Styela clava: one gene and its partners. The main gene of each other region encodes a partner of the protein of the gene in region 2 in a complex. Links are inferred from orthologs where the notes say so. Each region holds a gene or a part of one and is shown on either strand. Other genes may lie near its edges.

What was found.
Region 1: the proteins of condensin complex subunit 3-like (region 2) and condensin complex subunit 2-like are in contact, whole or in part, in a crystal structure (PDB 6IGX), measured with the Homo sapiens proteins. The link is inferred for Styela clava from reciprocal best matches to the Homo sapiens genes NCAPG and NCAPH. Residues at the interface, in NP_071741.2 of Homo sapiens: Lys11, Phe14, Arg15, Gln18, His50, Tyr51, Lys53, Tyr54, Val55, Met56, Val57, Glu62, Ala64, Val65, Val68, Phe102, Ser106, Glu108, Ala109, Asn110, Ser111, Val114, Arg115, Ile149, Arg150, Lys152, Asp153, Lys154, Arg159, Glu188; in NP_056156.2 of Homo sapiens: Glu471, Ile472, Asp473, Phe474, Glu475, Asp476, Asp477, Ile478, Phe480, Val482, Tyr483, Phe484, Arg485, Lys486, Thr487, Ala489, Ala490, Thr491, Ile492, Leu493, Gln501, Asn502, Trp503, Ala505, Thr506, Thr507, Leu508, Phe512, Tyr514, Val516.
Region 3: condensin complex subunit 3-like (region 2) and condensin complex subunit 1-like share a complex: the UniProt entries of both Homo sapiens proteins name them as parts of the condensin complex. The link is inferred for Styela clava from reciprocal best matches to the Homo sapiens genes NCAPG and NCAPD2.
Region 4: condensin complex subunit 3-like (region 2) and structural maintenance of chromosomes protein 4-like share a complex: the UniProt entries of both Homo sapiens proteins name them as parts of the condensin complex. The link is inferred for Styela clava from reciprocal best matches to the Homo sapiens genes NCAPG and SMC4.

The regions. Positions count from the first base shown.
Region 1 is NC_135253.1:217,334-225,255, forward strand, and holds the start of condensin complex subunit 2-like, read left to right. Parts: upstream 1-4,905; 5' UTR 4,906-4,946; coding exon 4,947-5,177; intron 5,178-6,471; coding exon 6,472-6,573; intron 6,574-7,101; coding exon 7,102-7,262; intron 7,263-7,922. UniProt on the Homo sapiens protein: Regulatory subunit of the condensin complex, a complex required for conversion of interphase chromatin into mitotic-like condense chromosomes.
Region 2 is NC_135251.1:22,335,358-22,342,331, reverse strand, and holds the start of condensin complex subunit 3-like, read right to left. Parts: upstream 3,002-6,974; 5' UTR 2,810-3,001; coding exon 2,708-2,809; intron 2,308-2,707; coding exon 2,192-2,307; intron 1,606-2,191; coding exon 1,506-1,605; intron 1,075-1,505; coding exon 965-1,074; intron 1-964. UniProt on the Homo sapiens protein: Regulatory subunit of the condensin complex, a complex required for conversion of interphase chromatin into mitotic-like condense chromosomes.
Region 3 is NC_135256.1:8,804,484-8,811,480, forward strand, and holds the start of condensin complex subunit 1-like, read right to left. Parts: upstream 3,019-6,997; 5' UTR 2,999-3,018; coding exon 2,881-2,998; intron 2,435-2,880; coding exon 2,300-2,434; intron 1,094-2,299; coding exon 839-1,093; intron 121-838; coding exon 9-120; intron 1-8. Other genes in the region: uncharacterized protein LOC144425034, read right to left, coding at 3,734-4,660. UniProt on the Homo sapiens protein: Regulatory subunit of the condensin complex, a complex required for conversion of interphase chromatin into mitotic-like condense chromosomes.
Region 4 is NC_135251.1:14,605,481-14,612,901, reverse strand, and holds the start of structural maintenance of chromosomes protein 4-like, read right to left. Parts: upstream 3,006-7,421; 5' UTR 2,969-3,005; coding exon 1-2,968. UniProt on the Homo sapiens protein: Central component of the condensin complex, a complex required for conversion of interphase chromatin into mitotic-like condense chromosomes.

The DNA of each region.
Region 1 (7,922 bases), on a different chromosome or scaffold from region 2:
ATATATGTATTACAAATGCAAGTTAACGATTTCCCGACATGATATAAAGTATTAAACTGTTAAATTTACATATATGAACTGTTTCTATTTCAATTGTATATGGTAGTATATATATATATATAAAAACTGCAACGTTGGAAAGAAACAGGTATATATATATATAATATATTGTCAATTCGGTGCAGACTGTGCTGATGAATCTTCAGTTACTTATCTTTCTACGAAACTGCACATATAAACAGACAAATGCACAAACACACATATGCACTTGGTTCAGTGCAAACAAAATACTGTATTTTGACAAACTTACTTGATGTGTCTTTGACTCGAAGGATGCTCATGAGGAATGCCTTTTATTTACTAGAATATCGTGAATATTAGTAGCAATCGTCGATAACATGTACAAGTGTAACTGGACAGCTCAGTTTGTACATAATTTTGCACAGGAGATGAGTTTCAAAAAGGGGAAATCTTGGAAATTTCAGTAATTAACAAATTAATTAATTATCGGGATTATGACCTAACGATAAATGAAAAACCAACAACGCAGGCACCGTTTAAGTCGGTGCATCATTTTTAAGAGATGCACATTGCAATGCGGATTTAGGCAAAAAGCGACATGAATAAGATTAAAATGATGTAGTTACAAATGGTTCTTTCTCATATAAATATGGCCAGAGTAGTGCCTACATGAATAAGTAAATAATGGTTAAAAAAGAAAACTTGTAACGCGAATAAATGTATAAATGTCAGATCCGCGTTCTAAATAATAAGTTTAATTAAGAGAAATGTTCAAAACTTAACAATAACAGGCGCGACTAATTCAGTAATTTTATATAAGTGTTTCTGGAGCTTGACAGAGGTTGTCTTGGAAGCCTTGAAGAAAATGTAACATCACAACAGTTTTCTATACCCATCATATGTTAAAATGTATAGTATAGAGGAATGTTATCTTATCTCACCTCAATAAACAACAATGAATTGATAAACGCACCTTGATTGATATTTTATTGACTTGATTGATATTTTAATATCGATGATATTGAATCTTGAATATTACATTTATACCAACGACTAACATACCGATTTATACAAAGTATACAATATTTTCACAAATAGCCTTGGCCAGAGAATGCATATTGTTTACACCAAAAATCTGATTTGTTTCGATTGAACCCGTGCTTCTGATTATATTACACTTAACAGTGGCGGCGCGTGGTCATTTTGACAACCGGGGCAAGCTATTGCGGGACCAAGTCACCCCAATCTACGGGGATAGGATGAGCGCTGTAAGTTCTCCCATCATTTTATGAGTATAAAAACCATTCCATCGGTAACAACCAATCGGCGAAAGCGAAAATTTTTAACGATAAGAAAGTGTCGTGTCTTTAAAATCGGTCCAAGTCAAGGGATTAATAAATATAGACATAGTTTATTTTGAAACCTCTTTCAAAAGGAAAGGCAATATTTACCCAGATAAATACAATGACATATTAACAGAAACTTCGGGAAAGCAGACAAAACCTAAACGTTACTATGAAGAAAGGAAAGGTAATGCAAAGATAAGGACATGCGTCGCTCATTCATAGATATATATGCTGCTAGACTTCTACTGCTTGAACATATATGCAACACGCCGCGGTTTCTTGGAGGCAAAATGCTCAATAACGCGCTGATTAAAGTCATGCATCCCAGAAATAACGTCTCTGTGAATGGATAAAACAGCCAAGGAATTTAATCTATCTTGCTTCATTGTGTTTCTGAGATACGTTTTAATACGCTTCAGCGTGCTGAATGTTCGCTCTGCGTCGGCGGAAGAAATAGGCGTCGTCAAAATGATGTCCAGAAATTTTGCAGACGCCGCAAAGGTTACTAGAGTGTTATCTATGAGGAACCCATAGAGCGCGCAAGTTGATGTGATGTTCAAAAAAGTTTGATTGGTGTATATACATCGCAATTCATTTCCCAATTTACCCACGTTTATCATGGGGTAAAATTTGGCGAAAACGGAGTGCGAACTAGTGCATCAACCTCATTCATTATGAGGTCTAAGGCTAAGAAATGGGAAGCCGGAAAGAAGTGAGGAGCTCAAAAGGAATGTGGAAAATCGAAAGCAAATGGACTAAAGGTCTCTAACTGATTCAAATAGCGAAACAAGCGACAAAAACGAAGGCGAGGAAACTATCAACTCTTCAAGCAACCAACGAACGAGAAGGAATGCGTGAATATGTCAACACGTTGTTGTAAGAAACGTCGGCATTGTGTCGTCATAATTTCGGGGCTAGCCCCGATGATTTAGTAAAAGAAACAGAAAACAAACGAGACAAACGCGGCGAGTGGAAGATAAAAGAGAGAATACGATATACAATGAGCAACCGGGGCAAAATCGGCGTCGCCCCGTCGACGTTCGGCGAAGGCTTTGCGAGCGAAAAATGAATCATGTCGGGAGAATATGGCTAGTGTAGACAGTCTGTGCAACCGATATTGAGGTATTTTTCGAAGATTTTTTATTATACCGAAAAAACAACCGGGGCATTGGCCCGGTTGGCAGTATTGACGCGCCGCCACTGTTACACTAGTATGTGTATAGTAGAATAAAACACATCTCATGTTTATATTGTTCAAAATGCTGCACAATTTGTATTAACTTACATTCATCCATAAGTATACAGTTACCCAAATAATTGGTATCCTTGAATACCTGCTCTCCAACCTTATCGTTTTGATCATTTTTTTTTTTCATTTTTGCAATACAAATTCAATATGTGGCAAATTCCGTTAGTTAAAATAATTTTATACCATACGTTCGCTTTTATAATAGAAAATAGTAAATTGCAGCAAATCGTGTTTACCTCTATTGTTACGTACCAATAGACGCAGACATTAGAAACAGAATGTAAACGACGTAGAAAAGTAAAATATATATCATGTTAATAATGTACAGTCAGTAATTCTTTTTGATAATATTTTATTTATGTTATTTTTCATTATAAAAGGAAAAGTGAAATGCATTTGATAATTCATATACACAGCATTTAAAATAATATACATTCACAATAAATATAATATTCAGAATATTCAATCATATATTAGTTATTAACACAATTCTGTTAACATCCGGGAGCACTTAGCAAAGCGCCGCAGCGCCCCCTTTGGGAATCACTGCCGTAGACGGTTTTCATTACCAGCATTTAATAATTTTTAAGCTCAAGTCTTTGATATAAATCAGCAAATAAATAAAATGTAGAGGTAGAAAGAATGACACCGCAAACTTTTTGCCGGCTCGATTTGACGCGTGAATAAATGCCAAAAAGTAATCGATTTTTTTTTTAACTTCGACATTTTATTTGGGTACGAAATAGTCTTAAACCAAATTTCAGAGTTCCCGCCATTACCAACGCCATCGCCGTTTCAGCTGACATTCTAGGCACCGTATTTAGGACAGTACGACGGTTTTTAAATGTCAAAATCAACTGTAAGAGCGGACTGCTGATGGAGTGTTTGCTAAATAAAATATTCAATGATTTTATGTCGGCCTTATCTAAAACAACCTAATTTATAACAGTATAACGTTAAACGTTTACGGATAACGTATCGGTAGTCGGTACCGTACGGCAAATGTTCTACGCCAAAAGAGCACTGGTACGGTACCGGTACCGGTACGTTGTGTGGGGGGGTCTTGTGACGTTGCAATGACGTAGTTTTTGAATAATACTGTTATAGGATATGAAACTGGGTATGACATCACTTAGCACTGCCTGACGTGTAGCATAATCTGATAATGCTGTAAATTGTAATGCGCCAGCCGTCAAGTGTCAAACTGAATAAGGTACTGAAATACCGGATCTGCCGACATTTTCAGACAGTTCTGCAGTTAGAATGCTGGAAAATAGGGCTGTAGAAGGTTCATTCCAAGCAACTGGAATTTCACCAATTTTTTCAAAAATGTAACGTCCAGACGTTAGAGTTACTAAAATCCCGGAACTGTGATTTTCAGTTCTGGATCTCTTCTCTATGCTTTTGCAGTTTTGTGCGATATGTATGATGAGGAGTGTTTAGAACAGGCATAATCCTGATACTGAATATTGCCTTGACTGCAAATGAAAGTGAACACAGATCAAGATCAAAGCGAAAACTAGAAAATTTAGAAAGAGGACAGAGAAAGATAGCCTACATACAGACATCTAGTATTTCAGTTTTTTAATGCTGACCAAATTAGTTTTTTAAGGCTAGGGCGTAAAAATTTAATTTTAGCCATACCGGTACTGAATAAAATGTCTTGACTACCAACTACTGAACTATACTTGACTTGAGACTCTTAAGACTATCCCAACTGAATTATCACATGATTCATTGCAAAAATTGAAAATTCTCAATACTGTTACCACAATACATGCAACATCTCAAATTAGACAATACCAGTTTGTTTCGCATTTTATCGCTGTAAAATCATGAATGTGAAAGGTCTTGTTTTGCCAATTATTGAAGTTATTGCAAAATATATGTAATTATAAAACATTATGTGGAAAATATTCAGTAGGCTATTTCACTGTTATTGTTAGCGGCCCATTTTTCTACTTTGTTTGACAAAAATTCGTAAATTTTGATATCCGAAATAGATGAATTTTTTTCACATGATTAAAATTGCTTCATTTCTGTATTTGACTTTTGTGTCGTGATTTGCGTACAATTTCATAAGTCAAATTTAACTATATCATGATTTTGTTTCTCGATGAATGAATTTAGAAGATTCTGAATTAATCGCAAACCAAACCTTTTGAAACTCAAACTACTCAACTTACATGATCATCCCTATCTCTCTGCTCTCAATCTTTTCACATTATTTGCTATGTTTAAGAGTGCAAGGAAGTAAACATCTTCTCATGAACCCATTTTATTTTATAGTATTACAGAACGTCTTATGTCTGAGTTAAGCTAATTTAATCATGTCGACCCCGCTGACATCAAGGAGACGCTCTGTCAATTTACTCAACCGATATGCAGGCAAAAGTGAAGTCTCTTCACCACAAACTCGTCGTTCTCTCAATGGTCAAGGTGATGCGCCATTAGAATCACCGCAGCTTCCCAATGTTCATAATGAAGAGGATGCGAGGGAACGAAGGGAGAAGAGAAGATCTCGAACTCTAGCTCAAGCAACTGGTAGTCCACTTGTCAAGGTAAAGTAAAGTATAGCAAAGTCTATTTTTCAGGATATTGTATAATTAATTGTTTGGTAGGGCTATGAGTGCTAGAAGCCTTCGGAGGGGGCCTTGAGCCATAAAATGTTGGAAACCGCAAAGGTCTTGTGGAATTTTGAGTTATAACAGATCTAAAACATTAGTATAGACCAGTCTGGATTTCATGGCCATTTTGAACGAGAAACCGGGCATGCAATCAGAAATTCCAGCGCGCAAATCAAAATTCCCGGTGTGCAATTATGAATAACGGCGTGCAAATCGACTGTGCTCGCGTGCAACTGATTTTGACTTCAGTTGCTGTTCAGTACATCGACCTGCGTAAAATGATTGGATAAAAATACATAACTTCGGAGCAGAATGTTCTGGTACTGTTCAGTACATCCGCTTAAAATTATTGGATGAAAAATAGGTTGAATCAGAGCAAAATGGACATTTGACCTTTGACACACAAACATTATTTCTACATTTTGTCATTAATTTTTGGGAGTGTTTTTGCGTAAAATTATTGGATGAAAAATACGCTGAATCAGAGCCGTAACTGACCAGTGTCGACAATTGTGGAGCTACAAATTGTTAGCATCTTTATATTACTGGATTATTGATTTAAAAACTATTTCAACCGATTTTCATTGGTGAGCAATTACAAATTATCGGCGTGCAAAATTGAATTTGCACTCATGCATTTTTGCAGAGTGCTAGCGTCCTCGGGCGTGCATCTGCCAGGGAATCCAGTCTGGAGTATAGGGGCCTAACCTGTCATAAACGCTATGCTAGTTTGTCAGAGTGAAATGGAAAATCAAGTATCAATCTGATAATATTGAAATGCTTGTTTTTTAGTCTGACCACTGGAGTCTGTTTTGCTTACCTTTCGTAAATTATCTATTTGCAGGCCGTGGGTGAAATTTTCGTTAGTTTTTATACACAACTAGATTTATTTAAAATTTTCTATTTTTGAAGTCTTGATAGTTTTTCCTCACCCTTTCCCTTGAATCCAGAAAGTCATTTTTTCCAAAATCTTTTTGCAGAAAAATCTTTGCAGTGATCAACCTATATTCGATACTTGTTACTGTGGCAAGTGATAAGGCCTTTGACTGGCAATGAATAATTTTAACATTGGCCAGTGGAGATAAAGTCAATTTGTAATGACATACATTTGAATGAATGAAATAAACCTTGATTCATATCACAGATTTTCAGTAATTTCCATGTTGCTTTTATATATGCTATTTATAAATGTTGAATATTACCAAGGTTTTTTGCTATTATTTTATAGCCTGTTGAGGAAGATCAGGGCGTAACAGCAAAATTAACCAACGATCAACTGGCATCACATTATGTAAACTGTATTAAACTATCAACGGAGAACAAAATCACAGTGAGTTTATTCTACTACATGTTAATAAGAACTGAAGCGTTTTTATTGCCGGCCATTTCAAAACATGTTAAATTAGGACTTTATTTTGGCAAAGGATCCCAATTTTAATTTGAAACTTCTGAATGTATTTTGATGTTTTGGGTATATCTGTGTAATATAATTTTGAAGGTTGCAGGCTTGCAACTGTATTTATGTTAATGGCTTTTAACTTGATATGTTTTATCTTAAAAGAAAACAGTGTTATGTAATTTTGGAATCCTGCAAACTATGTTCAGAATTAATGATGGAAAATATTGTTAAAAATGTCTTGTAAGAGTTATTTTTCAATGGTAATTGGTAACAGTTATGTGGTTGTGCACGTGTTCTGTCACTCAGCCATTTTATCAAGTGCATTCTGTAACTCCTGGCATACTTGTAGGTTTCTACATGTGATCAAATGAGTGGATATAAATTTGTTTTTAAGCAATGGAGCCATAACCGTGTTATCAATTATCCGAACCTTTGCATATTCAGTTGCTCTTTGTTCAGGCTAAAAATGCTTTCAATCTGCATTTAATTGATCATATGAATGAAATGCTGAAGCAAAGATGCGAAGGAACACTCAATTTCCAGATGGCAGGAGGAACTATATTTGCAAGTGCAAAAATCTATGCATCCAGAGTTGATGCTGTGCATTCTGAGACTTACAAGTAATGTTTTTTATTTTTTTTTTAACAAGATACAAAATATTAGAGCTCGACCGATATATCGGCCAACCGATATATCGGGCCGATATTGCATGTTTTTCCCGATATAATATATCATATCGGCCATACTCCGCAAGCGCCGGGATGCGTGCTTCAACAGCTCTCGCCTCTGCATAACTGCTGGTTTCCCAATATTTCCCTCACTTTCATTTTGCGTTAGAAAGGTGTCTCGCCTAATTCCTGTTGGCACATGATTAGCCATTTCATGCATGATCATAACTGAAAAGTTATTATTCAGAGTAACGTTTTCGAGAGACTGCACAATGAGAAAAAGCAAATTTAGTATCAATAGAAAACGGTGGTTCTATAAATAGAATCGATTTAAAGCTGGTGAGTTAGTAATCACAGAAACACAGTAGAGGTAGCTCGAAGCAATAATGTCATCAAAGTAGTTCCGAATTTGCGACCTTCCCAAAATAAATTTTGAATTTCTGGTGTAACAGTTTTATCAATATTGATGGTTGTTTATCGCTTTGCTGGGACTCACACAAAAAACCTTAATCCATTATAATTGACTAAATAAGGTATTGAGAGTTTCTAGAAACATAGTTATTATTAAAAATTTCACATGTTACCGCACATATGCTATCACAATATTGTAGG
Region 2 (6,974 bases):
CAACACGCGGTTTGAATGAATAAAAAAGCTGAAACTAGTATTCTTTAATAAAAACAGCATACAAATTCTATGGAATGAAATCATACACGAAAGCTCGTCAAAAACCTATAGCTCAATAAACAAGTGGAATTTGATGCATGTTCGCAAAAATGTGCGCGTTACTACGTACAACCGAAGCACACAGGAAAATGTGTGTGATGTACTAGTGATCAAAATGTTTGACTCAACTATGTTGGCATAACAGGTGCACATCTCGGTTTCGCATACGCATACTTTCTATCTCCTCAAGAATATATTAATTTGGCAAAAGTCAATGCTGCACCTGAAAGGTTCCTGTTCTTTCAAAAGAAAACTCGTTACACATCGTCAGTTACATGGCCTTGTTCGGAGTGAAAGACGAGGTCGAATATTCCAATTCATTTCAACTAATAAAATATTTCCCAGGTCCCTAACTTTAAGCAGGAAAACGAAATGCCCGCAGCAACACAAATGTAGTTTGACGAGCGCAAAAGAAAGTGGCTAGATGCTGTCGATAGATCTTGGCTTATATTAGTGAAATAAACTACCATTTATTCTACTAAAATTGAATTTCTGACATTGTAAGGAGATGCAATGTTACTATGTATTCAATACTAACCCATGTAGTTATGAAATAATTGTTTTTAACGAAAGGTGCTCCCGAAGTATTCGTACCAAGATGGCGCACAACCTGAACATTGCATGATGTGGACCAGGTTAGGGTTCAGGTTGTGCGTCATCTTGGTACAAATACTTGAAATCCATTTAAAAAAAATTGCTCAACATTATATACTCCACAACCACCTGGGTATCATTATTTATGTCATCGACATTATATCTAAACAATAAAAAAACTTTGTCTCAAAACAATGTTAAGGCGCGATTCTGCCGGACTAATAAGGTTTTTTTCAAACTAGGCCTTCTGCCCCATTATGCAATTCCATACCTTTCTACCAAGTCCTCATCCAAAGCTGCATCCCTTGGTACAACATGCAATAACAGCTTGACAAGCTGACAGATACGAAATCTAACTGCTTTTCCTTGCGCAACATGGTTCTAGAAAAAGATTCTCAATTTATCTGGTAATATACACACAGATGTATACATATATATATATATTGAAGATTAAGCATCTTTTACAAATTTTTCATATCTTGATTTCTTCAGATTAATTCAATTTTTGAAGTTTCAATTTCAACAAATAGCAAACAAACTATAGTTTTTGATGATATAAAAATTTTTACTAGCAAAATTTAACATGAAGCCTGATTTAAGCTTTTTCGTGCATATAGAAATTTACCAAAAAAAAAAAAAAATTTAATAAAACCAATTCAATAATTTTAAATGAAAATATGTTTAGCTTAAGTCATTTCCATATAAACGCATCCTTAAATATGGACTTGTAGAATCAAAGTATTCAAGGCAAGTAGCATCAAAGTATTTCAAAAAACTCATCTTCATCATGACAGTGGAATGTTTCAACTCACCTTGAGTAAAAAATCGAATAAGAAATGATAGAAGTTATCAGCATCAACCTCTGGTTCAATTTCATCCTCATCACTTGTTTGTGCAAAACATGCTGCAAATCTGTGGTGGTAAACAAAATCATATGGCACAGTGAATAGTTTGTTTTTTTGCAATGACATTTATGTGTGTCATAGAGGTACATGTGGACAAAGCAAATTAAATATTGTAATATATTTGAATAGTTATTATTTTGAGGGTTCATCACAGACAGTCAAAACTTTTCATAACTTCAGTAAAAAACCAGTTTTCTTTAGGTGGCTATTAACTATCGCGTGGGACACCTCATTAGATTGAATGGAAACATATATTTCATTCTAAAAAGTAAGAAAATGAAGGACGCTATGCAAGCTGGCCAAGCGATTATCTTGTCTTGGATAGGATATATTCAAATGGCATTTGAGGACTGTATATTGAACCCCCTTCGTTTAATTTTCATTCAGAAATCTCCAAATATATTTAGGGTACAAAGGGAGTGACTGCACCTAAAAAAAACTTCATAGATTTGTGGAAATTTCCACTTCAACTAAATTTGAAATAACCCAAAAACATGATCAACCCTTCGAAATATTCTCAGAATATTAATATCGTGAACCGTTATCCTAGTTAGAGTTATTAGCCACCAATGTTTCAAATAGGGATATCGAACCGTGCAACAAATTCCATCACTCGTTCCACAGCAGGTTCTCTCGTAAACACAACCAAACATGGCTTCAAATGTCGAATAAACTCATCTCGGAAAGTTTGCTTGTCATTATCTTTCAGCTGAAAAATTATTAAACAGTAAATTATAGTTTTATAAATATTGTAGGCCTATTAAATATTGTTAATATAATGATCAATAGGCTACTAACAATTTTGAATAAATAAGGGTTGCCAATAGTTAAGATTTGAATTACAATGGAAGCATCCACCATCTTATCATCGAGGTCATATCTATATCTGTGCATAATTATACAGTAATACAACTTCTCATTTCCTAAAACCTATTATTGAAGGTTTTTCAGCCATTATGGGCACATATTTTTATCTGCCATTTGGGTTGAATCCAAAGAAATACAGAGATATTTAACTTCACCAAATGCTGAAATGCATAATAAAGTTAATGCTGTAATGTGGTACCGGTACTTAATGCAGTAATGTTGAAAAGTAAAAACCTTCTGACCTTAGAATAAAATGTTTTCAATCCTTCTGCGAGTTTAGCTTGATTTTGATGTCCATGTTGACTTTTATCGAATGTTTCTGATAGTTTGTCTTCAATTTTCATATTGATACTCGAAATTCACAATTAGTCTAGGCTACCTGATTTCTGAATTTGCACAGATTCAGTATGGTAATGTATAACCCCAGAATCCAGCTTTCACAATGCTGTCTAGTATCTGGCTGTTATTTGTATTGACGTATTATTAAAAATAGGATACGGTTTACATATTTATCCTGGGGGATCGGTAAGCTGGTACGGTACCGGTACCGTCGTTTACTCTCGCCAGTCCAGCAGTCAGCCAGTAGGCCTAGGACCCTCCAGATTGCAAAAACCTTTATTATCTAACAGTCTAAAGATGATGTCCGTAATGTTGTATACACAATCTGGACACTATTGTACATTTGAATGATAGTTAAAATGAAATAATTGGGCGCGGCGGTGTGGCTCAACGGGCTAAGCGTTAGGAATACGCTCGCCACCGCACCTCTAACTACTCTGCGTGGGTTCGCAGGTTCGAATCCCATGCAGGGATGGTTATGTGCGAGAGGATTGCTGGACTCCTCGCCGTCGTTGGGTGGTTCACGTAACCGCTGGTCGGTTACGGCTTCCTCCACCACCAAGTCCATGCTTCCGAAAACAAACAATACAGTAAAATCTAATCCCATACCCGACTTGGAATGGTAACCGGACGAGAGGCCGTGGTTCGCCATATGGATAAGCCGTCTTATCGGCTTTCCTCTTCCCCGGGATAAATATGTAAATCCTATCCTATCCTATCCTAAATACCAGCAGTTAGTGGAAGACCGAAGTCCGGAAATTACAACCACAAAACACTCGAAGCGACTTATTCGACCGAGCGACAAAGTACTGTAGACAGAAACTAGGAAATCAATAAAGCGTGATGAGCTAAGCTGACGTTTAAAATAATTTGGCGCCAAATTTCAGCATCGACTTTTTAAAAGCCTCGCTTCGCCTACTAAACTGGAATGAACAATTAAGATGGTCAATGAAAGGATTTTACCAGTGGCGGCGCGTGGTCATTTTGACAACCGGGGCAAGCTACTGCGGGACCAAGTCACCCCCATCTACGGGGACAGGATGAGCGCTGTAAGTTCTCCCATCATTTTATGAGTATAAAAACCATTCCATCGGTAACAACCAATCGGCAAAAGCGACAATTTTTAACGATAAGAAAGTGTCTTTAAAACCGGTCGCAAATATTTACTAGTAATTAAAAGTTATGATTCTTTTACATGACATTTTGGGGTAATAGTTCTCATGACTGCAAACATTTATATGGAGGTGTTAGATGGTACTCCAATAAGAGAAATTATCAATTTCAACTGATCCAATGTTGAGATCTAAATCATATGACCATCTCGACTTAATTTGCTAACACTAAGATACCGTTGAAAAATCGTCTATGAAAATTTATGCGGTGCCCCCATTTGCATGTGCTTATTTTGCTCAAGTGTTGATCCAACAATGAAACGGTCGTCCCATGCATGACTAAAAATGTTTTTAAAACCGGTGTCATCTTGCCACAATTTCAGCACAAAAAATACAACTTTACATCCGGGTGTCATAGCGGAAAAAACATCAGTTGCCACATTTGGGATACGACATCAACAAGCAACATCTGGCGATTTCTCGGGACGAAATCGAATAATATTACATAATAATATTTTGTAAAAACGCGTTTATTACATTATCAACATAAAAAAGTTGAAATTTTCAAATTTATCGAGTAAAATACATTTAACAAATTTACAGTTAATGTCAAAACATGTTAGACGACGATTAGTTTCAATATGAAAGTTAAGATTATAACAAAACGATCGTATCCAAGTCGCTCTATTGAAAAAGGTGCATTGCAGGAAAAGTTTCAACATGATTTCTGAATGTGGAATCCAATGTAGTAACACATAAAATTAGTTAAATATTCAAATAAATATTTTAATAGCCAACATAACTTATTGAAATTTCCGATATTTACTAAGCGAAATTTAAGACTATTAAAAATGACAAAGCAATTTAGCTGTAACGAAATATTGTGTATTAAAGGAAAAGTTTCAATATGATTTATGAACGTGAAATCTAATACAGTAACACAAAGAATTGGTTAAATTTTCAAAATATCATTAGTAAAGCCAGCACAGCATGAAATGTCCGATAATTACCTAGTCATAGTTACGATTATGAAAAAACGACCATATCCAATTCGCTGTAGCGAAAAATTGTGCTCAATTCTTTAAATAACTTCAGGAAGGATGTTCTATCAGCTTGGAAATCTTTCAGATATACGTAATTGGAGTTACAATTGATGCATCCTACTTTAGCGTATTAAGCTGTTTTTCATAAAAATATATATACCCTCCCCTGGCTATATCATCGCCTGGATCCTCCGGATCGAATAATATCTGATCTCCAATATTCAGATCATCACACAAGATTGTTGAATTGTCAGAATATATGTAAGTCACGTAGTGGGATCCTCCAGTATCATTATTTTCACCCCGGTGTACAATAACACTAGCTAGATCGTATTTGACATTTTGATTCCGCGAATTATCAAAAATGGATATTTCGGGATTGGGGAAAACTTTTTTATGATTTTTCATTCCTTGTCTTGTTCCTCGAGCAAGACAAATTGTCAAAATATCCGGTGTTGAATTGATATTGATTTTGCATTCTGCTCTTGATTTCTTTTTGCATTCGGGGCATTTCCAGTTTTCCCATATGTGTAATCTTTTAAATAAATTTGTAAATAAGCACTGTCGGCGATAGTTTCTGGCATTGGTAATATTAAATGATTTTGTGAAACTATATTATGTGTCCTATATGGGCACTTTTTACACAAGCGTATTGTCGATAGTTGTAGGGTTGTAACCTTCCCGTAAAGCAGACATATATTGAATAGCACTGTCTGAAATAGAAACTCGGCAGCGTCCTGTTCTTGTCCATAGGTCCACATCTTTTCTGTACAAACTCTCTTCAATAAATTTGTGATAGAAATATCCGACACTTGATGCCCTGTGGACATTGTTCGGAGTATCATAATTGCATTTCCTACAAGGTTATTGAATTCTGGCACGTCATCGCTTGCTATTCGAGAGTTTCTTAGGAGATAATTTAAAGCCTGTAAGCAACAATTTTCCCAACAGTTGTTCCATTTATTTACCAATCCGACAGTTTTAAATATAGGCTTTTCGTTTTTTTGACCATTCAAGAGATATGCATTGGTTGAGTTTTCGAACAGAAAATATACAATCCAATGCCTGAAATCATCAGTAGAAATATTGAACTTTTCCCCCGTACAAATAAATTCGGCAGCCGCACATGCACAGACTCCACAGGAACTACCGTCTTTCTGCTCAATTATGCATTCTTGTTCTAATTTAATGTATATATTGCACATTTGCCAATTGACGAAGAAATGGGATGAATTGTGATTGAATTGTTTTGTATAAAATTTTGTCGTATGGTCTGATGGAATTGATAATAGTGCAAATCTTCAAATCGGTCGAATAATATAATATGACAAAATGCTGCTCTCCGTTTTTTAACAAGATAGGGAAATATTAGATGCTGTCTCAACTCACTGCTTCCATGTACAATTAGATCTCTCAAACTTTTTGATCCGCTTTTAAAATAACGTCCATCGATTATTCTTTTGGTGAAATACCAGTCGGTGCATCCGATATCTTCATTCTGTTTTGCTCTGTTGTGCTGATCCACAGTCATTTTGATGGATGCATTCACTACGTCAGTCGTTAGCCAACCTTGATACGTTATATTTTTTATAACTTTCTGCATTTTGAACAATGTTTCTTTTCCAATATTTGGGCAAACCGAGCATACATCAACCCAGTTCAGATCGATTTCTTTATTAAGTCTTAATGCCGTGTGACCAAAATCTTTTATTTCGTTTGCTTGTTTCCAAAGTTTCACAGCAGTAGTTTTAATCTTTTCTAAAAAATGTACTGATGTCCATATGTTTTTTCCAAAGTTTGAAATCTCCATTTTTGGAAGTAAGCCTGTTGCATTTCTATCTCCTGTAATCAAATTGCTTTCCTCTGATTGAATATTGGCGTAGCGTATTCTTTTTGCCGATTCTGTCGTTTCGTAATATCCGATGCCATTATTTCGCCTTTTCCTTTTTTTGAATTTTTCCTTAACCAAATGTGCTTTCATTTTTCTCCCATTTTCGAATCGATTCTTGTGTGTT
Region 3 (6,997 bases), on a different chromosome or scaffold from region 2:
AACCATACTTTATAAAATCATCTTCAACAAGTTCAGGATCCCATAATCTATGAATATCAAGATCAACAAAAGTCATCAGAAGTCGGACCAATTTTTCACATTCATTTGTCCACTGAATCTCTGGAAAGCACAGAGTAATAGATTTAGTTTTTATGACACTTTGGTGCAATCCTGATATTGCTACTACGCATTACCACTAATTTTCTGATCGTTTTTCTTTGATCCTGTTCATTTACTAGTTTGGTATAAGATGCTTCTCAAGTCTTCTACTCTGAACAAGGCATATATTACCAGCCAATGATATCTCACGAATCACGATATGTAAGGACAAAGGAGTTTTTATTTGGAAGGACTGGAGTCTTTCTGATTTGGCCTGGTATACCCAATTTAACGGATCCTGGATGAGGTGGAAAGAATGATATTTGAACCTCAGATGTGCAATTGATGATGCCAACACAGTTATGTATACGCTTTTAACTGCTGAGCCATTGTCCCACAATTAAGATGGAATAACGAAAGTACTGAACAACATAAGATAAACAACCTAACTAAATTCATCCTTGCCAAAGATAAAAATAATCGAAGATAATTAATGGCAAATAAGAAATGGATTCAATACCATTTATCCTTGGCCAATAGCTATTTTATTCCATTTGAAAAGCAAATTGGCATAATATTTAGTTTCAACAGTAGGATTTACTATGGTCTGGGTAAAGACTGTGGAAAGAAAACTATGAATGTGAATGATGTGATAAAATAATCAAATGATTGGACTTGGAGCCGCTAAAAATGGTTTGGCAATGTCTGTTACAAGATACTATAGCAAAATTTTACATACCTTGACTGGTACTTGTCTTATTTTTAGATCCTTTTCCACGCTTTTTGCCAGCATTTACAGAAGCTGAGGCCTCTGTTGATTGATTATATTTAGCTTGAAATAATTCTGTCATTTGTACCATCAGATAAATCAACATTTTCAACGCATTCTTGTGATTTAATCGAGCGTCAAGGTCAAGAGTTGGCGATGCAAGGTTATCTCCTGAGGATCCACTAGAGAGAATATTCCCCAAGAAGTTGCTGTAAGACTTGCAAGCTTAATGAGAAAATTTATTAGAAATTATGATTTCATAGAGAAAAAACACTAATTCATAGTAATAGCATCAGAATTCTTAATATAAACCAGCTTTATGAAATAGCATTTAATTTGAATTTTATTCTCTGGACACCCCTATACCCTACTGCAGGGATCGGCAAAGTTTTGTCGCTTGTGGAGTGTGAACCAAAAATAGGGGTTGCACTGGATATAGCCACTGGATGGATATCCAGCCCAAGATTAAACATTTTGAAAATGGGAATCACTCATCTGAGTTTTCCGCTTGTTCTTTGTAATGTTCATTTTCGAAAACAATTGTTCGCATGCATATGTAGGCTACTTCAAAACATCAATGTGAATTTTTTCACATGGTTGTCATATTTGGATACAGTTTTTCTTCAAGAAGATACTTTTTATAAAAATTGAGCAGTGATACATATCTCGAATAGAACATAGATTTATTTTCTCATTGCATTGCATCTCAAAAAATATCATTTGAATATTTTCTGCACAATTGAACCCATTGCACCTAGCATCAACTTTTCTGCGTTTCGTTGCCACTTGTCTACCACTATAATTAAATTATAGGCTCATTAAACGAGTAATTGTAAATTATATACCTGTTAAGTTAAAATATAATTCAGTCTACACGTATCTCACAATAATTTATGTTACGTAAAGAATATAATGTTTAAAACAGCCGTTTTGTTAATATAATTTAGTGGCCGTCGGGGGCCAGATCCGGCCCGTGTGCCGTAGGTAACCAACCCCTACCCTACTTCATACATGTACTTGTAACTTGAGCATATTGTCCAAATATCAGTTTTACAATGAATTCATAACTTCGGAAACACAACTACAAACTCTGAACAAATAGGTAGCAACAAAGTCACAAAAGGGGCTAATAACGACTACAAAATCTGTCTTCATGAAAAAAGTGTCTGAGACTGAGTGACTACTGACTACTAAAGTTTAACTGCTATATCACCTTTAACATTTTGCTGATAAGTCAATGTTACAGAAATAAACAATTCGATACTTGGGCAAACCTCTACTATTGCTAAGTAAATGAAAAAAAAGAATTTTAAATGAAATTAAAAAAACAAACATTTAGAGTGTATAAATTCCTTAACATTCGATAATATACAAAAATACTAAAAACCAAAATCCCACAATACTTTTAAAAAGATTACAAATATTTATTACTTTTGAGTAACATCTCCCAAGTCTGTTGTCTCACAACTGGATCTATTTCATTGAATTTTGAAACGACACTGTAGATCACATCAAAGTTCTCCAGTACTGCAAGTCCTCCATCTCTTGCAAAAGCAATTTTTGCATCTAAAAATAAGAATAATTAGTTTCTTCAAGGGTGGTTTTGGATTATTGGTAATCAATATTGATCAGAATAAAAGACCATTACACCATTACTACAAAACTTTTAACCGAATTTAATTAATAAAGCAATAAATTGCATAATTTAATTCATGAATTATTTGGAATATTGTTACTTGGAAACTTGTCATTTTGAGCCATAAACTCGCCAACTTGTCTACAAGTTGGTTAATTTCAATCACTTAAATATGATATTTACATGCAGGATAAAATAAAAACAGGCTTATTTGATATTCATACTTGACATGGTCATAAATCATAGTTGTTTTCATATGACACAATTAATAATATATTTAGTTCAATTTTGGTCAAACTAAATTTTCTTTTTTTATTATTCTTTTGTTTTCAATTCGATCAAACTCTTTTTACAAAATATAAAAAATGATATTCACTTTGTAGTTTTATCGGCAGCATACGACTGGAGAAAACTTCTTCAACGACATATTGTGTCGCAGACGGCGTTGAATTTTGTAAGTCTTGAAGATGAAACGGTATAACAAAATTTTTCATTTCCTATTATTATAAATATAAACCTAGAGAATAAAACAAATAAGATTGTAAAAAAAATGAAATTCAACATAAAAATGCTATGATATAATACTATTATGATGAGTAGTTTCATATAGGCAAAGTAACAGGCACAGACACGAGAAAAAAACATAATAAGCATGGCTGTATAGAATAAAAAGGCAAATAATAACCACTGGTAGATAGGAATAATGAGTGTTTATAGGAAAAACTTGCACAATACATCATGATATTGCTTTCAATGATTAAAATAAATATACAATTAGAAAAAGTACTGGAAATATGAATTGTGATATCGTGATCATGGTAAATCATATGAAGTCTGAATTCGGCAAATAAGATTCGAGCTTAATGTGGCCAGGTAATACAAAGGAATAAAATTCAAAAACAAAACAAGCTTTCATTATTAAATATGAAATATCAAAGATCAGTCATCCACTGAATGAGGATTCTCACAAGAAAAATCTATATAAAAAGACAATCATTTGATTTTGAAAGCACATCAGTTCAGATAAGTAGGGAGAGTCTGAAGACCTATAAATAAAGAGTAAGAAATCTATTGGATTTATAGCTTGTAACATATATGAAATCAGTGCAGATAAAGTTAAAATGTTTTTGTCTTAAAAAAACTTGTTCGTACGCATTTTTCCACTTACCTATATATCAATATTTTATAATATATTTTCAATATATTTCAATTTCCAAGGTAAAAAATAGTCAAGTTTCAAATTTTTGATGTTTAAATCTGTTGGATTCTGGAATATAATTTTTATCAAAATCAACTAAATCAGGAGATGATTTACGTTTGGGTGCAACATACTCCTTTTTTTGGAATTTATATGAATGCGATCTATGGGAGGATATCCCGGAGGGATAGTCAGCTTGGCGACGATGTTTTGTATTATTTACATCCTTGGATCCTATTTTTTTGTTCTTTTTTTCTAATTTTGTCGACAGTGAATCCATATTTGAATCTTCTTCTTCATCTGATGCAATAATGATAAAATCATGTTCATCTTCATTTTTATTTTCTGAAACGGTTTTTGTGACAATAACAGCACTTTTCGTTTCTGTTTCAATATCCTTCTTCGTTCGGAAAGAGTTTTGAAACTTAGTGAGTTGTGTTATGTATTGGGTACAACGAATTAATTGTCTATTACAATCCGATCTCAATAATTCATGGAAAATTTTAGTAAAATCCAGATTTCTTTCATCAGCAATGCTTCGCACAACTTTATAAAAAATTTCAACTTGGGATTCTTCGACAGGATCATGAATAGGAATAATACATAATCTTTTTTCGGCAAGTTCATTTGAGTCCGGATCGAGATACGATGCCGGCTCTGTTTCTAAATGCATATTTGTAATTCTTCTTATCCTTTCTGCAGTATCAGAATCAAAAGTAATCCAAATAACGGGACATCCAACTTTGAGATGTGCTTCAATGAGTACAATTCCTCTTGAAGGGATATTGAACTGTATTGCATTCTTATTATATCCTTTTTGTTCCAATACAGCACTGAAAGATATTGTTTCTTTTGAAAACTGAAGTGGAATATTTCGACGATCTCTTGGAGGAAATGTTTTCAATGTTCCAATTCTGACAGTGCGAAAAGGTATCATGAACACATGTTCACTTTCCATTTTCGATAAAAAAAACAGCTAAACTGATATAGCATTCTGAACAAGAAGTTTACCAATAGTAAATGAATTGACTATTAATAACCATGGTAAAATAATACTTGAGAAGCTCAAGTTTTGAAATTCGGGTTGATAGCAAACACGACCTACAGATAATTACCTGCTCAACGATCAAAGCAACTTCTTAGTAAGCCTTAGTAGCATTGCATCGCTTGTCATTGCATAACTACTGAACTAGCACAAGAATTACTGGGAGAGACACAAACTTATTTTAGGAACTATTGTTTTTACTGATTGATTTGTTGTAATCATAATCAGCTTGGCGATATCTTTTTATTCATTATTTTTCTTTACTGTTCACTCTTGTTTACAAAATCAATACTCAATTTGGCAACCATCAGAAAATTAATAATAATATGGTGTGGCAAGTAATTTTTATTTATTCATTTATTTTTTGTTTGCTATGTACAAGTATAAGCTTATTGTGATCCCATAATCAGCATTATAAACGATAAAACGTGCATGTGTTTGGTTGTTTTTATCAATTACTTTATCGTCTGTTATGATGATCATGCGGTCAAACTAAACTTATACTTGATGTACTTGAGAAACAATACTTACATGTTTCGAGCATAAAAAATTCGGAAATATTTTAAAATTATGGAGTTCAAATTATAAAACAGCGATGCCCTGTATAGAGATACAGGCTAGTCGGGCTACTGCAGTACATCAGTCAGGCAGTAGCGGTAGACTAAGACGAGTATTAAAGTTATTTCATAACCATGTGAATATCATATTAACAAAAAGTATTTCATCATTCACAAAATGATTATCTGTTTTTATACAAAATGATGTCTAAAATTACAGCAGAACATTCAGACATTGCCATATGTAAAACACAAAACAGACGACATACTGTGTTTCCCCGAAATTACAACAGGGTCACATTTCAATTTTCTTCTGCAAAATACCTCTAGGGCTTATTTTCGGGGGATTCCTTTTATTTTCATTTACCAAAAACAAAATTAAGTGTAGAGAATTACGAGATTTTCAAATATGAAAAAAAGATATCTATTTACTTATAAATAACACGTTTTTATTCAAAATGACAGCAGAACATAGATCATCATCAATTCAAACGTGTTCGCGTTATTGAATAAGTTAGGCCTTATTTAAAAGAGGTGGGCTTATATTAAAATAATTTTAAAATTCAGGCTAGGTTTTATTTTCGGGGAACACTGTAGTAGGCTTCATTCTGTCATTTGAAAATCTGGTATCGGTATAGACTACGTAAACATTATAAGCAAACGCCAAAATTCATCTCTGAAACTCATGAGACATTGAGAACTGGAGAAAGAAAGTCAAAAAAAATTCTGTCATACCGGTAGCAAAATGCAATTTTCAATATTTAAAATGACATCAAAAAATAATAACACCCTATTTTGAAAAAATGTTTTGGTTTTTTCTCACGTTGTGGATTATTCAATAATCAAAGAATGTATAAAAATAACAACCATCCAAAATTATTAACAGAAAAGATACATTAACAGCAGCCAGCAATTGATTGATTGTATTGTCCATTATATCCAAATTAAGTATCCATGTAGTTCCCACAGTAATTGGCAGTGCATTATTTTTTAATTAACATTTATTATCAAGAAAAAAATTAAATATGTATTAGTTTCAGTACTTTCACTGAGGTAAAAATTCATAAGTTATTATAACTCATATCAAGTTCTCTTGTGGGACTAGGATGTTGCCTAAACTTTTCTATATTTCTTCTTGCCATGAGTGACTTCTTAATTTTAATGATTACATTGTTTACAATTCTGCATTTGCAGATTTGGGTTAGCATCTGAAAAATTACGGCATTCCTTTCTAACCATATTTTGTGTCTAGCAGTGCAAAATAGCAATATTATATCATTGCGTTCAAGGCTGGACAAATGTGAATCCCATCCAAATTTGATTTGATCCCATTCCCAGAAATAAACATTTGCATAGAAAAATCATGAATGAATCAGTGCGGCGGTGTGGCTCAACGGGCTAAGCGTTAAGAATACGCTCGCCAACGCACCTCTGATTACTCTGCATGAGTTCGCAGGTTCGAATCCCATGCAGGGATGGTTATGTGCGAGAGGATTGCTGGACTCCTCGCCGTCGTTGGGTGGTTCACGTAACCGCTGGTCGGTTACGGCTTCCTCCACCACCAAGTCCATGCTTTCGAAAACAAACAATATAACTAATCCCATACCCGACTTGGAATGGTAACCGGACGAGAGGCCGTGGTTCGCCATATGGATAAGCCGTCTTATCGGCTTTCCTCTCCCCCGGGATAAAT
Region 4 (7,421 bases), about 7.7 Mb from region 2:
TCGTCTTGTTCTCACGTTCTTCAATTTCTTGAAGCGCCATTTGACATTCTTGTAATTGAACTCTCACTTCTTGTTTTTCTTTTTGAACTTCTTCGGTTTCTTTTAAAAGTTCTGAAGCTTCTTCTTCGAGTTGCGTCCATTGTTCTTCTAATTTTTTCAAATTTTCTTCATTTTCTGTGATCTCCAATTCTAGTGCTTCAATCGATTTTTCGCTTTTCTGAATGTTACGTTCAGCTGTATTAATACCAACTTTTAGTTTTGTGATTTTCTTTTTAGAAGCATTCATTTCACTGATGATTTTATCAAGAGCCTCTTGTGCTGGTTTCAGTTTCCTGCTGTTAATTTCATCAATTTGTTCATGGTAACTGTTTTTTTCTGCTTCAACTTTTTTAGATTTTGCTACAGCAGAATTGTATTCTTTCGTAACTTTATTCAACTTGTTTTTCATCTCTTCCTGTTTATTTGGATCGGGTTTCGTTTTCTTAACTTCTTTTTCACACGATGGTTTTTGTTGTTCCAACTGTTTAAGTTGAAGATTTAATCCAGAAGCCTCTTGTTCGAGCTCCTCCGTTCTACACTTTGAATTACGCAATTTTCTTTGGAGTTGTTCAACTGCTTCTTCAGCAAGTGCAATCTCACCCCTAAGAGAGCGTAATTTTGTCTCCATTGCTTCAGCTTCACTTTGCATTTTTCGCAGTTGCTCGAGTGGAACAGCTTCTTGTGCAACGCACTTTGATCCCATACGACCTTTCACTACTCTGTTACCGCCACCAGTCATAGTACCGGAAGTATCAATGATCTCTCCTTTTATAGTGACTACTCTCCATCTGCGATCTTTACCATAGGCTACCTTGGTGGCTTCAGAAAGATCGCTAGCAACTAAGGTATCACGTAAGGCGTGGTAAAATGCAACTTTAAACTTTTCGTCACTAACACGTATCAAATCGACCAAGCGAGGAAGTGCAGACCTTGGTTTGTTTTGAACTTGTGACCTATGGCGATCCATTTTATCCAATGCAATGAAGGTTGCTTGACCAACATTATTCACCTTGAGGGCTTGAACACATTTCTGTGCAGTCTCAATATTATCAACGAGAATATTTTCTAGTGCGGGACAACAAGATGATATTGCAACATCATATTTTTCATCAATAGCTCCCAAATTTCCAAGTCTTCCATATATCCCAGGCAATTTTCCCGAGGTTTTTAGCTGCATCAAAAAATCTGTTACTTTCCCTTGAGATTTGGCAGATTTTGAAGAATGCTCTGCATCTGCAAGATGTCCTCTGGCAGCTTGTAGTTTGGTTGACAAATCTTGTTCCTGGGTTTTAAGATTTTGTAAATGTTTTGTCTTCTCTTTTAATTTTGTGTCAAGCTCAGGTAGAGAATGATTGAGATTCTCTCTTTCTTCTCTGCTGCTTTCCAACATCCTAGTTACTTCCTGAATTCTTGAAGTGACCTTTTCAAGAGCAACTACGGCATTTTCATGGTTGCTTGTATAAATTTCAAGTTCTGCTGCCGCCATATCTTTTACCTGTTTTGTATCATTTACAACTTTCATCAATTCCATGAGGGGTTTCTCCTTTTCTTCAATCTTCATCTGAAGATCAGATGTTTCATCTTTCAAACTTCTCGTGACTTCAGTAAGATTTTCATCTGCTTCTTTTTTCCTTACTGCAAAACCCTCGAGTGCTTTTGTCAATGTTTCTAAATCCCGTTCATGAGCGCTTGGCACTTCTTGGAGTTCCTTGAATTTGCGTTTTTCTTTTTCAACTTTTTTGGCTAAATCTTTTGCCTTTGCTTTTGCGTGTTTGCGATCTTCAAAGACTTTGATGTTAGTCTGTTCTAATTCACCCATTTTATCTTTTTTTTGCTGACACAACGACTCTTGCTTTTCCAACATCTTTGAAATCTTTTTGACTGTTTTCACTTTCTCTCTTCTTTCCTCTGTAATCATCTTGAGCGCTTCTTCCATTCCAGTCATTTTTTCTTTCAGAGCATCTCGCTGTACAGCATATTCTTTCTCTTCTCTGCTAATATTACTAATATAATTTTGAACAAGTCTGTTCTGCAATTCAGCCATTCTATTCTGTGCTTTTAAGAAGTCAAGTGCTTCATCTCTCAAAGGTTCGAGCTCATCTTTCTCTTTTTCGACATGTTTGACTCTTGCGAGTCTTTCGCCGCGTTCTTCACTCAACTCTTCTACCAATTTTGCCAGTTTTTCAATTGCCTCCTTGAACCGAGAAGAACCAATGATATCTTCTAAAAATTCCAGCATTCCTTCATCATGTGCTGTTTGTGCTTTTGGTTTCATCATGGCAATTTGTTCAACTTCTCCTTGCAGAATTAAAAACCTATTGTGATCCAGATCAATTCCACTTGAACGAAGGAATTTGGCTACTTCCTTAAAATGAACTCTTTTTCCATCAATGCAATAGTAAGATGAATTATCCGAAGAAGCAGTACGAGAGACACAAAACTGACTGTTGGGCACAACTTCAAATTCATCTTCACTTGTATCAATAATTGATTGAAAATGAACTTCAACAGTACAACTTGTTGCATTTTTATGATTTTCACTGTTGTGGATCATCACTGATACTTTTTTTGACCTCAATTTGTTGGAACGATACCCAAAAACGAAAAGCATAGAATCAATAACATTGGACTTCCCACTTCCGTTTGGTCCAACAATTCCAGAAAAGCTTTTGTGAAATGGTCCAAGTACTTGAACTCCAGCATATGATTTAAAATTATGATTCACAATATGAGTTATCATAAGCCGTGGTTCGCCTGCAGCACCGACACCAACAGCCAATGGTTTAGGTGGGATTGTAATTCCCTCTGGAAGATCAAGTTCCGCTACTTCTTCACTTCTTTCATCATCTAACTCCATTGGTGGCTCTGTGTCAGGATCAGGAGTATCCATCTTATTATCTTCAGTATTTTCCGTGGCAGTTTTAGTCATTTTAATATACTTTATTTAAAAAGACCAGAAAATAATACCACAATATTAGTATCAAATATAAATACGAAGCAGTGCGATGGCCTAGCGATTGAGGCATCAACTTTAACTGTGTTGGTATTACAGATTAAACATATCAGGTCCTAATCCCATGTCACCCACCTCACCCAGTTCGGAATACATTCAGACATTGGGATAACAATGCCGAAGCAGAAAGATTCAGGTGCTTCCATACATGCAAAAATACGCACTCGTAGCAAGTTTGAGGACTTGGTTCAATAAAACAAACACCCTATTTGTCTCCAAAATGAGGAGTGTCTGCCATGACAACCCAGACTGTCTCGTAAAAAGGAGGTATAAATTGGCAAACTAGTACTGCGCAATAACCTAAAAAAGAAGTGCAATCTAAAAACATCACGATTGGATTTCTTGAAAAAAATCATCCGATTTATCAAATGAAAAGAAAATTTTACCATAGCATTCAGAGAGTTTTCAGATGAAAACGCCATGTTGGTCACATGACGGCCGTGATTAATTTACCATGGATTATAATCGAGACAAGCATGGAATGATCTGACGCATCTGCCTTCAGACACTCTCGTTTCAGAGACAAATAAGAATGTTTTTTCATTGAACCAAATGTCGGGACATCTTGAAATAAGAGAACTGTGTCCTACTGGATAAAGTACCCTTTGACAACAAATTCTCTGGGAGTGGCATAAATATAATTACCGATGGAGTTCATCATAGTTTGTGTTGGCGGATGCGTCAAATTTTTTGACCATATTGGCGCTATAGAGATTATAGGGGAAATCATGCAATTCTAATTGGGGATATCGACTAAAAATAAAGTGGAGGTATTAACGCTTACGCAGAATATTCTGGTTCGCTCAAAATTCGGAAATTCATATAAATTAACACTAAAAATATGATCATTCTGATGTCCAGCTACAATACAGTGAGGAATATTACTTCTTAATATATACTAAAATTTCCCACATGCTAGTCTACTGCAGTGAAACATTAATTAGTCTAGGCATCTGAGTTCAGGCTGTCGCAAGAGTTGGCCCGTTCTGCCGTTTGCAGGTTTGTTTATTATAAATATCAGTCCTGCAGTCTGTCAGTGACAAAACTTGTAAACTGTTAAGGTACGTAAAAATGAGCTTTGGTCAAGCATGCGCCCAGACATAGGCCTATCAGTCAACATGAGTGTCATTATTATTACATTTGGCCAACATTTTAAAAACTTACTGCATTCCCTTTCTACCAAATTTTATGTCTTGTCAACAGAAGCCAGAACAGCGAGACAGCAGAATGCTCAGATCTGCTGATACGGTAGTCTACGGCAGGGGTGTGCAAACTGCGGCCCGCGGGCCAAATGCGGCCCGCAAGAAGAAGTTGTGCGGCCCGCGGAGAAATAACGAATTCGAATGGTGTACCCGCAAAACGAGTATTTATTCTTTTTCGTCGCAAAGCCCATACCAGTCATATTAGCAAAACAAGCTAGCAAAATTCTGTTGCAAAATACACGATTTATATTACAAAAACGTGTTTCTCACTGCATTCGTTTGAAGTCGGTGTGACAAAAAATTTAAATATCAGTTTCTTCAGAAGTTTATGCGTTTTAAATCTACTATTTCTGCAAGAACCCTTAATAATGCCGTAAGATCAATAGCAAATATGCTATAGGCAATTTTTGTGCTTGAAACTACCAGAAAGCCTAAATTAAATAAAGGTGCGGCCCGCGGCTTCACCCAGTTACTTGTATTTGGCCCGCCAATAAAAAAGGTTGCACACCCCTGGTCTACGGTACCGTACCGGTACCGGTATCGGTACTGCAGTAATGCAAGTACCGGTACTGAAATGGCATTATGTCAAAACTGGACAAGTTATACGAAAACCGATAGTATGTAAGTTACCGTATATACCGTAATTACTTTTCGAAACGTTTTTGTTTTTAAGTACAATGAAAAATATCTATAAACTATTCGTATACCTGTCACTCATGGACTATATGAATATCAAAATAATACATCAAATATAATAGAAAGCGCGGGAATCGCGAGACCACGAGATGGCGTGACCCATAAAATTCGTCATGAATGGGCCATTTCACGGGTACAAAAATGCATGAATATAAACTTACCCGGATCAATCAAGGATAGGATAGGATTTACATATTTATCCCGAGGGAGGGGAAAGCCGATAAGACGGCTTAATCATATGGCGAACCACGGCCAGTTACCGTCCAGTTACCAGTCCAGGTCGGGTATGGGATTATTGGACACGTAGTGGACATAACGATCGTTTCAATATTATGTTGTTGTTGTTGTTCTTGTTCTTTGACACGTTTTTAAAAAGTCGCCTTTCTCTTCGAATACTGGACCAATTGCTTTGAAATTTTCAGTGGTTAAAGATTAATTTTTTCGCTAGAAGGCTATTGCTTTTATTTATTTCAAAATTTTGCGTGAATTCTATGAAATTTGATATTTCGTCTAATATTTTGCTGTATTATTTTTTATCCATGGGAACACGGATTTTAGTCAGTGTCATGACTGGCTGTACGTTTTGATTCTGCAAAATTCTTGCTACTGGAAATTAGGAACTTTTTTGAGGGTACCGGTAGCGTCAAAGGTACCGGTAAGGACTGATTCGCTCTGGTCTGACGTGTCCATATATTTGTGCGTAGCTCTCTTGTTAGTTATCCCGTAAATATGGTTAGCCAGTTATTTGTTTTCCGAAGCATGGACTTGATGGTTGAGGAAGCCGTAATAGAATGAGGCCATCGATGAAAAAAGGTAAGTAACATACAAATGGCAAATCGATAGTAATAACTCAGTAATAATCGATAGCAATGAGTCTACGAATCTTTCTATTTCATATACCCCAGAATATTTAAAATCCGTGATTATTATTTTTTTCGCTATTGTATGGGTAACCAATAACATTAACTATTAACATTAAAGTTTAATGTCATTGGAGTAACTTAAATGCTTTTGATGTAAACACCAGAAAGCGTGGATACCCGTGATCAGTGGCGCAGCCCATGGGGGGTTCAGTGATTTCCCTACACCCCCCCTATACCCCCCTAAAATTTCAAACACCCCCCCCCTAATTTTGAGGTGCGATTTCACACTGAGGGGTTCTAAACCGCAGTCTGCGGGCCAATTACAGCCCGCGCGACGATTTAAAATGGCCCGCCGAACTTGAGTGAAATAGTTTAACCCTTCATGTGGTACCTTTTGAGTTTTAGATACCGTCTATTGTTACATCATTATCACAGTTTAAGCACGTTTATTTCGTAACAATTGAATTATTCCGGTATCTTATGTATACGTATGGGTATTAGGATTACACACTGCAGTATTTTAGATATCAGCCGTATATTAAGAAAGCTTAAAGATGTCACAAAACGAAAACTAGGCAATGAAAATGACGTTTTTTAGATGAATGACAGCGTTTTTATTTCTTTATTGAAAAGAATCAAGCTTCAGCGATTTGTCTTCTTACCAACAAAATATTTCAGTTCTGAAGGAATACAACATTATGATCAGTTGACGAGCTTATTTCAAAATTTAATTCATACAAAAGTCAAACAAACATGTTCCAAAAAATTAGAAATGTGTAACAAAACGTAAGTAGCCATTCATACAATGCCAGATGAGCAAGTAACTTCCTTAGTCACTATCAGTTGCAAATTACTTGTTGAAACGTAGTAGTATATATTTACGGTTGAAAGCCGTGCTTGTTATCTATTCCCCGGGAATTCTATCAGCTAAATTTTCTAATTATTGATTTCATTACATAACAAACTGCGATGCTAGGTGTATCTAAAATCAAGCTTAGAGCCTATTTTGGTGCCTATTTCTCAAAATTTTCTCAGGCCGCTTGAGCGCGCCCTGAACCCCAGCCGTGTCGTCCCGCACTTTTCCTCGCTCCCCTTTTCTGGCCCTACATTTTTATTCTTCTGTGGATTTTGGCTCGCGTCAATCATCTTGGTCAATCAACAATGTACATCGTTTCTTAAATACATACCATTTTGTTAAGAATACAAATAGCCTAGTTTTATCTCTAATAGCAAATTATTTACCACCCTCTAAATTTTGAAACACCCCCCCAACTTTAACTTTTTATTCATTAATTGAAATTTTCGTCGAAAATTTTTGTGTTAACATTATACGAGGTTGGAAACGCTACTTTTCCCGAGTTGTGATGCTATATAAGATAATTGATCTAAACCTAAAGTATATTCAATCAATTTTTATTGTGCTGAAATAAATTTTACTCTGTTAGGTTTTACAGCAGATTTACAGATTTTTTGAACGGTTTTACCTTAAAAATAATCTGAGTGCTAGCATTGCGATTGAGCGGAGTCAGTGTTGCAAGTACGGCTCAGATTTGTCGAATTCGCAAAATGGCAAAAATACGGATCAAAACAAAATATAATCGGGCAGTT